Schizosaccharomyces pombe: one gene and its partner. Changing the gene in region 1 together with any one later gene gives a genetic interaction. Each region holds a gene or a part of one and is shown on either strand. Other genes may lie near its edges.

Region 1 (3,762 bases):
AAATTAGTTTAAATAAAGTATTTCTTTTAAACTATCCATTCTCAACATACCCGTTTTTTACCAATGCCTCCCATTCTTTGTGGTTGGTAGTTAAAAAAAATTGTACACTCTCAAGAACACCAATATGCAAAGTTCATTTCCGCCAACATGACAATAAAGATGGCAATAGACATTATTTTTTTGAAAGCTGAATTTTCTATTTTAACATATCTCATTTACATGCTGTGAACATAATTTGAGCGAGAAATTTTTTATACTAGTATAGTTAATAATAATGTTATGGGCCTAGAAGTAAAAAAAGAAAAAAACACGTGAAATTGAGAATAATGACCGTACTACGAAATTATGAAAAATCTTTTATAAACACTTATTTAATCAATAATTTTTTGGAAGTAACTGATTGTATACAAAATGATGAACTTCTAAAATATACCGGTTTATTTGTCGGGCGTAAATCTATTGTTTGTACACTGACTTTGGATGATGCATATCATTAATGTAATTGTAGCTGATATCTCTTGACTTTTGTTTTGGAAATTAAACTATTTTGTATTGATAAATTAACGTAGAAAAGCACCACGATAACCTGAACCTCGCCTCAGCAGCTGTTTGTTTAACCTATGCGGAAGACCCCCACATGGTCCTTATTATCGGTTTTATGCCTAACACTAGCAGCTTAGCAGTGGTTATTAAAATGAAAGCCCCCACAAAGTACTAAGATGGGTTTGCTAGTACGGCTAATCAAGGTTGCGTAGCAACGTTTGTCAGAGGAACGAAAAGTGGTACTTTGAATGTCATTAATTTAACCGATGATTTTCTTATTTTGTTTGTAATTTCTGATGGTCTTTTACGATATTTAATTTGAAATACTGTGCTATGAAAAAAAATAATAATAAACAATAGCAGTGAACTATGACAAACTAGCTCTTATTATATAAATTACTATACAAAGTTATCTTTTTACATGAAATTTTATTTCTCGTTTTTTTTAATCATTTTCCTTTTAAATCTTTTTTTTGGGGAGGGAATTAACAGTTTAAAAAAATTTTTAACAAGGGTTATTTTTTTGGCTCCATTTTAATTAATTGTACTCTGTAAATAAAAGATTTAATAAACTCAAGGAATATAATTGACCACAGTAATGAGTATAGAGAGACTTAAATAAAAAAAAATTAAAATTAAAATTAAATCAGCCGAAATACAAAAATCCCGAGTATTTTGCATCAAACGCATATCAGAAACCATGAGAAGCAAATAACAATTAGAAATTGTGCCCAAATTTGCTAATGTATGTCAGTAAGTTACAATTTTAATTGACCAGTGGACATCCTACTAAAGCTCATTCATTCAAACACTACAATTGATTTATTAAAGAAAAAGAAACTTTTCTGGTAAATTTAGTATGACCTTTGGTTAAGGCATCAGCCAACGCATTAAAAATTATTTGATAAATGTTTATAAAAAAAGAGTGTAGCATTTTTCGGTACTATCTAGGTATTCCTCGAAACTAAACAGTCGAAAATCTCATAGCTTGAGCTCTCCGAAATTACGTTGTAATGTGCTTTAATTTCTTTTGTATATGTAGGCTAAAATAAATATACATGAAGTTTCTACTAAGCCATTCGGAGAACTCTGTTTCGATACTCCTTCGTTGGACAAACCTTTGAAAATCACAAGACATTTCTGAGTCAACAGCGTATTAATTGCTCGATAAATTTCTTTTTCTGCTTTTAGAATAAGTGCATAATAATAAAATACACTGCAAAGGAATTTTTCAAATGTTTAGGGTTATACATCCCCCTTACCTGAATCCCTTAAGAAATAGATAAATGGAAGTGCGGCGCCCCTCTGATATTATAACCATTTAAAATTATACATCTATATAATCATAGTAAAATACGAATTAGTGTTCGAAAAATACTGGATTTTCTATCCGTTCGCTAAGATATCGTACTCCCGGATGTTACCACACTTTTCGATTAAGGGAATTGCGAAGGTTACATATGCGAAACACCTGCTGGTCGAACCAACTTTAAACACCACACCCTATTATTAGTAACACCAGACGAGGAATCCGATTCCATTAAAAGAGTATTAAAAGATTCTTGATTGATCATTGCTTTTGCTGAAAATGACCGAAATTTTCGGTAAATTGCATCGATCATCAAATTCTGAGAATACAAATCAAGCATCGCCATCCACAATACAATCGCATTCAACGCAACCGGTTCTTTCCAATGACCATTCTACGAAAGTAAACGATTACGAAGGGAAAGAGGGTGCTTCGTCTAATGGCTATGATCCCGTTTTCATGTCGGATCGGATGAAGATGCGTTACAATGAGATTACAGCTCAGCTTCACAAAGAACAGGTATGTTATAATTGATTTTTTGCTTGAAAGACAATCTTCCCCATAGCTTTCTTTATTGTGTTTTTCAAAAATCACTGTCTCCATAAATTGTTGTTCACTTGGCTAACCTATCATAGTCCTTAAAGGAAGATAAAGAATCTGGTTCTAATAGTTCCGAAAGCAATGGAATTACACCAATGGGTACATATTCAGAAAAACCCAAACTACTACAGAGTCGTACACCTCCATCTTCGTGTTACATTAGGCATGATACCGTTGTGCCAAAAGATAAAAATGGTCAGCATGCTTTTGGACGGCTTTATGTTCGATTACATCAAGGTAGAGATTTGAACGTCAAAAGTGTTAATGCACAACCTTATGCAGTAATCACCTTTGAAAAAACGCAGGTTATGGTACCTCCTCCTTTTAAAGACATTGACGGTGGGATACCCATTTCCATTCCTTCTAAAAACCGTCCTCTTGCTGGATCTGCTTCCGGTTCTTCTTCTGGACTACATTCTGAGCTAATGTTGGCTGATGTGCGTTGTCCTCATTGGGATTTTGAAACTGTATTTGATGTGACAAAAATGAAAAGTCAAATGGTTGTATCTGTATATGACAAATATGAAGACGATAAATTTTTGGGCTCCGTTAAAATTACACCAATTTTCCTACATGAATATGTGCAGGAAGCATGGTATAAGCTTGAGCCTCTTGACTTAACTAAGTCTCTGGAGGGTGAAATAAAAGTGGAAACAATTTACGAGCACATTGAACATGTTCGTTATGGGCCAGAAGATTTTACGGCCCTTCGTTTAATCGGAAAAGGTAAAGCTGCTTTAAGCTAAAAAATTTACGGTATACTAACTTTATTTAGGCACTTTTGGGCAAGTTTATTTGGTCCGTAAAAACGATACCAATCGGATTTATGCTATGAAAAAGATATCCAAAAAATTAATTGTTCGTAAAAAAGAGGTTACACATACCTTGGGCGAAAGGAATATACTTGTCAGGACTTCATTAGACGAATCTCCGTTTATTGTTGGTTTAAAGTTTTCCTTTCAGACCGCTTCAGATCTTTATTTGATAACTGATTATATGAGTGGAGGCGAACTTTTCTGGCATCTTCAACATGAAGGTCGCTTTCCTGAGCAAAGAGCTAAATTTTATATAGCCGAACTTGTTTTGGCTCTTGAACATTTGCATAAACATGATATTATTTACCGAGATTTAAAGCCTGAAAACATACTATTAGATGCAGATGGTCATATTGCTCTTTGCGATTTTGGTTTGTCTAAGGCAAACCTTTCAGCTAACGCAACTACTAATACCTTTTGTGGAACCACCGAATATTTGGCACCTGAAGTTTTACTTGAGGACAAGGGGTATACTAAACAGGTCGATTTCTGGTC
Region 2 (3,762 bases), on another chromosome or scaffold:
CATTTTTATTTTTTTTGGCTAAAGTTTCATACGTCTTAATCAATGCAATCTTAAGTCAAAATGTATACTCTTTTTTCTTTGTTTTCACACTTCTGCTCTCTACTTTTTGTAAGTGAGATTACGTTCTCTTTCGGTAGTTGATATGCAAAAAAACCAGTGAAATACCAGCATAAGTAAATAATATTCCTTTAGTAATTGGTACCAAGAAACCTATGTATTAAATAATCTCTAAAAATCAACATGCTTTACATTTTAAGTGCATTCTTGACAACTTTTTCAAGCTCTTCGTAGTCATCTGTAGGCACTCGCGTGATGGGACGTTGGAAGTATTCTTGAATGGCGTTCATTTCTTCCCAACTCTTTTTATCGTGAACAAAATTGATACTTACTCCAACACGGCCGAACCTACCGGTACGACCTATACGGTGAAGATATGTTTGTGGATCGGGTCTTCCTGCTTGATCTAAAGGCATATCATAGTTTACAACCAAGTTGACTTGCGATACGTCGATACCCCGAGCAATTACATTCGTAGTAACCAAAACCTTTGAAGTACCTACTCGGAATGAATCCATAATAGCGTCACGTTGTGCACCTTCCAGATTACCGGTAAGACAAGCAACAGTGTGTCCATCTGCAGTCATACGCCTAGCAATTTCTTCAGCGGTATCCTTTTTCTTACAAAATATAATTGATTGACCAATAGTCAATAACCCATATAATTCCACTAAAACATTATATTTATGTTCTTCACTTTGGCAATCCATATACAACTGCTTGATTCCCTCAACAGAAAGCTCCTCAGTCTTCAGACGAATTTCATTAGCATTGGGAGCAAAACGTTCAGCGTACTTTTCAACGCGTTCCGAAAAGGTAGCACTGAAAAGAACAATCTGAGTGTTTCTAGGAAGAAGGTGCTTGATACGCATAGATTGATCTCCTAATCCTTGCTGATCTAACATGTTGTCTGCCTCATCTAACACGAATACTTTAATATCGCGAGCGTCAAGCTGTCTTCTCTTCATCAAATCCATCACAGTGCCAGGCGTTCCGATTACAATTTGAGCATCGATTTTTGCACCTTTAGGGACGGAGTCTTTAATACCAAAAGCTGTTTTTACTTCAGTATATTTGCCCATCTCCGTCACGACATCCATAATCTGACGGGCCAATTCACGAGAAGGAGCGAGGCAGATAGCTTGAGGTTTGGGAACAGAAGCATCAACACGAGAAAGCATCGTTAATGCAAATGCAGCGGTTTTACCAGTTCCGGATTGTGATTGTCCGATCATATTGCGAGGAGGATTTGAGAGTAAAAGTGGAAGCGCCTTCTCTTGAATTTTTGAGGGTTTTTGGAATTTCATTGAATAAATTCCCTTTAATAATTCGGGCTTGAGCTCCAACTCTTCAAAACTTTTAACAGAAAAAAGAGGTGAGTTTGGATCAGCCTGTAGATCTGCTAATTTTACACGAACCTCGTTTTTATTTGGTATTAAATTAGATTCATCATTTTCAGATTGCTTCGTATTGGCGTCCTCTGCAATCGTGTTGGTCGCTTTGTCTTGCTCAGATTTTGCATCAACATTCTCAGTGATTTTTGGACCTAATCTGTCACTTAAATTTGTTGCTTTTTGATCTTCATTTTTATTTTCTGAAGTATTTAACTGATTGACTTTATCACTAATTCTTTGAACCTCTTCATCAGAGTCCAAACTAGCCCAGTCAGTTTTGCTTTCCTGTCCCAGTGTAGTTGACATTTTGGATGTTTTTTAGTAAAAAAAATAAAAAAAATCAAATTTATAGTTCAGATATCCAAACTCAGCAAGGATGACTTAGCAAACTGGATGACAATTTCTGGTGGGCAATGTAGTTGGTGATTGCTAAGTTACTCCTTAAGTGAAAGTTGAACAATATAGGTTTCGATTCACCACCGTACTTCCTTTTCATCAACATTCGTAACGTAAAGCCAAAAATTGTCACAATTTCTTCCGTCAAACTTTCTTTTTAATTGTTTTATATCCGGTACAAATTTTTATTGCAGCGATATCAAACGTGTAGATAATACTGGATAATGAGCCTGGAAACATACAAATTTAGTGATGAACTTCACGTAAGGTGTTTTAGTTATTTGGCATATTTACTAATATATAAAAGGACGATTTTAAAGTTGTCGACAGTTGGGTATGCCAAGAATGAAAATGAAGACAGTTCAACAATTAACACATTGTAACAAAGATTAATAATGGCGCGAAATGGCTTGAAGATATTCAATTGTACTACAAAGAAAGAAGTTCTATTGGTAAATAAGAAACGACAATGGTTAAATTTCAATGACTAACTTTGTTGCTAGAAAAAGAATATGCTCAGAAATTAGCCAGTCTTTCGAATAAATATGGGGAGAAGAAATCCAGAAAATCATCAGCCCTTTCAGTCGGAGATACTCCGGCAATGTCTGCTGGCTCTTTAGAATGGTATGTAAAATATTGGAACCTGTCAAGCAATTGAAGTTAGATGGATATTGAATTCCTGTTCACAGGCTAATTTTATAGTGCTTCTTTAACAACATGGTCTAAAATTTTGGATGAGTTAACGCGCTCATCAAAAACTCATCAAAAGCTATCCGATGACTATTCATTGGACATTGCTGAAAAACTGAAGAAACTAGAGTCTCATATAGAGGCTTTAAGAAAAGTTTATGATGATTTATATAAAAAATTCTCATCCGAAAAGGAGACATTGTTAAACAGTGTGAAGAGAGCCAAGGTCAGTTACCATGAGGCCTGCGATGATTTAGAAAGCGCAAGGCAAAAAAACGATAAATATCGAGAGCAAAAAACTCAAAGAAATTTAAAATTATCTGAAAGTGATATGCTCGATAAGAAAAATAAATACCTACTTCGTATGCTTGTATACAACGCCCACAAGCAAAAGTTTTATAATGAAACTCTACCAACGCTCCTTAATCATATGCAAGTATTGAACGAATACAGGGTTTCGAATTTAAATGAAATATGGTGTAACAGCTTTTCAATTGAAAAGTCTCTCCATGATACCTTATCCCAAAGAACCGTTGAAATTCAATCAGAAATTGCAAAAAATGAACCAGTCCTTGATTCTGCCATGTTCGGAAGGCACAATTCAAAGAATTGGGCACTTCCTGCTGACTTGCATTTTGAACCTAGTCCTATCTGGCATGACACGGATGCACTGGTGGTGGATGGTTCATGTAAAAACTACCTCCGAAATTTACTGGTCCACTCCAAAAATGACCTTGGAAAACAGAAAGGCGAGCTTGTATCGTTAGATTCACAATTGGAAGGTTTACGCGTCGATGATCCAAATAGTGCTAACCAGTCATTTGAATCTAAAAAGGCTTCGATAAATCTAGAAGGGAAAGAGCTCATGGTAAAGGCCAGAATAGAAGATTTAGAGGTTCGTATCAACAAGATCACGTCAGTTGCGAATAATTTAGAAGAAGGAGGTCGTTTTCATGATTTCAAACATGTTAGTTTTAAACTTCCGACAAGTTGCAGTTACTGTCGTGAAATTATTTGGGGGTTATCGAAGCGTGGATGTGTTTGCAAAAGTACGAAATATTTGCTTTCTTTCGTTAACTAACAAAACACGTGTAGATTGTGGCTTCAAATGCCATGCAAGGTGTGAACTTCTTGTTCCCGCCAACTGCAAAAATGGTGAGCCCGAAGTGGCCGACGATGATGCTGTAGATACCAGTGTTACTGCCACTGATGATTTTGATGCTTC

What was found. Genes that interact genetically often act in the same process or in processes that back each other up.
Region 2: mutations in sck1 (region 1) and bzz1 together harm fitness less than expected from each alone (positive genetic interaction), as found in Schizosaccharomyces pombe (one large-scale study listed by BioGRID).

Annotation. Positions count from the first base shown.
Region 1 is NC_003424.3:2,402,976-2,406,737, reverse strand, and holds the start of sck1 (serine/threonine protein kinase S6K family Sck1), read left to right. Parts: upstream 1-2,034; 5' UTR 2,035-2,131; coding exon 2,132-2,371; exon of another isoform or gene 2,372-2,487; coding exon 2,488-3,178; intron 3,179-3,227; coding exon 3,228-3,762. Other genes in the region: SPOM_SPAC1B9.03C (ribosome biogenesis protein), read right to left, coding at 51-74. UniProt on the Schizosaccharomyces pombe protein: Protein kinase that is part of growth control pathway which is at least partially redundant with the cAMP pathway. Required for trehalase activation.
Region 2 is NC_003423.3:2,464,102-2,467,863, forward strand, and holds the start of bzz1 (diacylglycerol-binding protein Bzz1), read left to right. Parts: upstream 1-1,926; 5' UTR 1,927-2,071; coding exon 2,072-2,110; exon of another isoform or gene 2,111-2,154; coding exon 2,155-2,181; exon of another isoform or gene 2,182-2,235; coding exon 2,236-2,299; exon of another isoform or gene 2,300-2,350; coding exon 2,351-2,471; exon of another isoform or gene 2,472-2,549; coding exon 2,550-3,586; exon of another isoform or gene 3,587-3,632; coding exon 3,633-3,762. Other genes in the region: ATP-dependent RNA helicase Dbp5, read right to left, coding at 246-1,757. UniProt on the Schizosaccharomyces pombe protein: Plays a role in endocytosis and trafficking to the vacuole. Functions with type I myosins to restore polarity of the actin cytoskeleton after NaCl stress.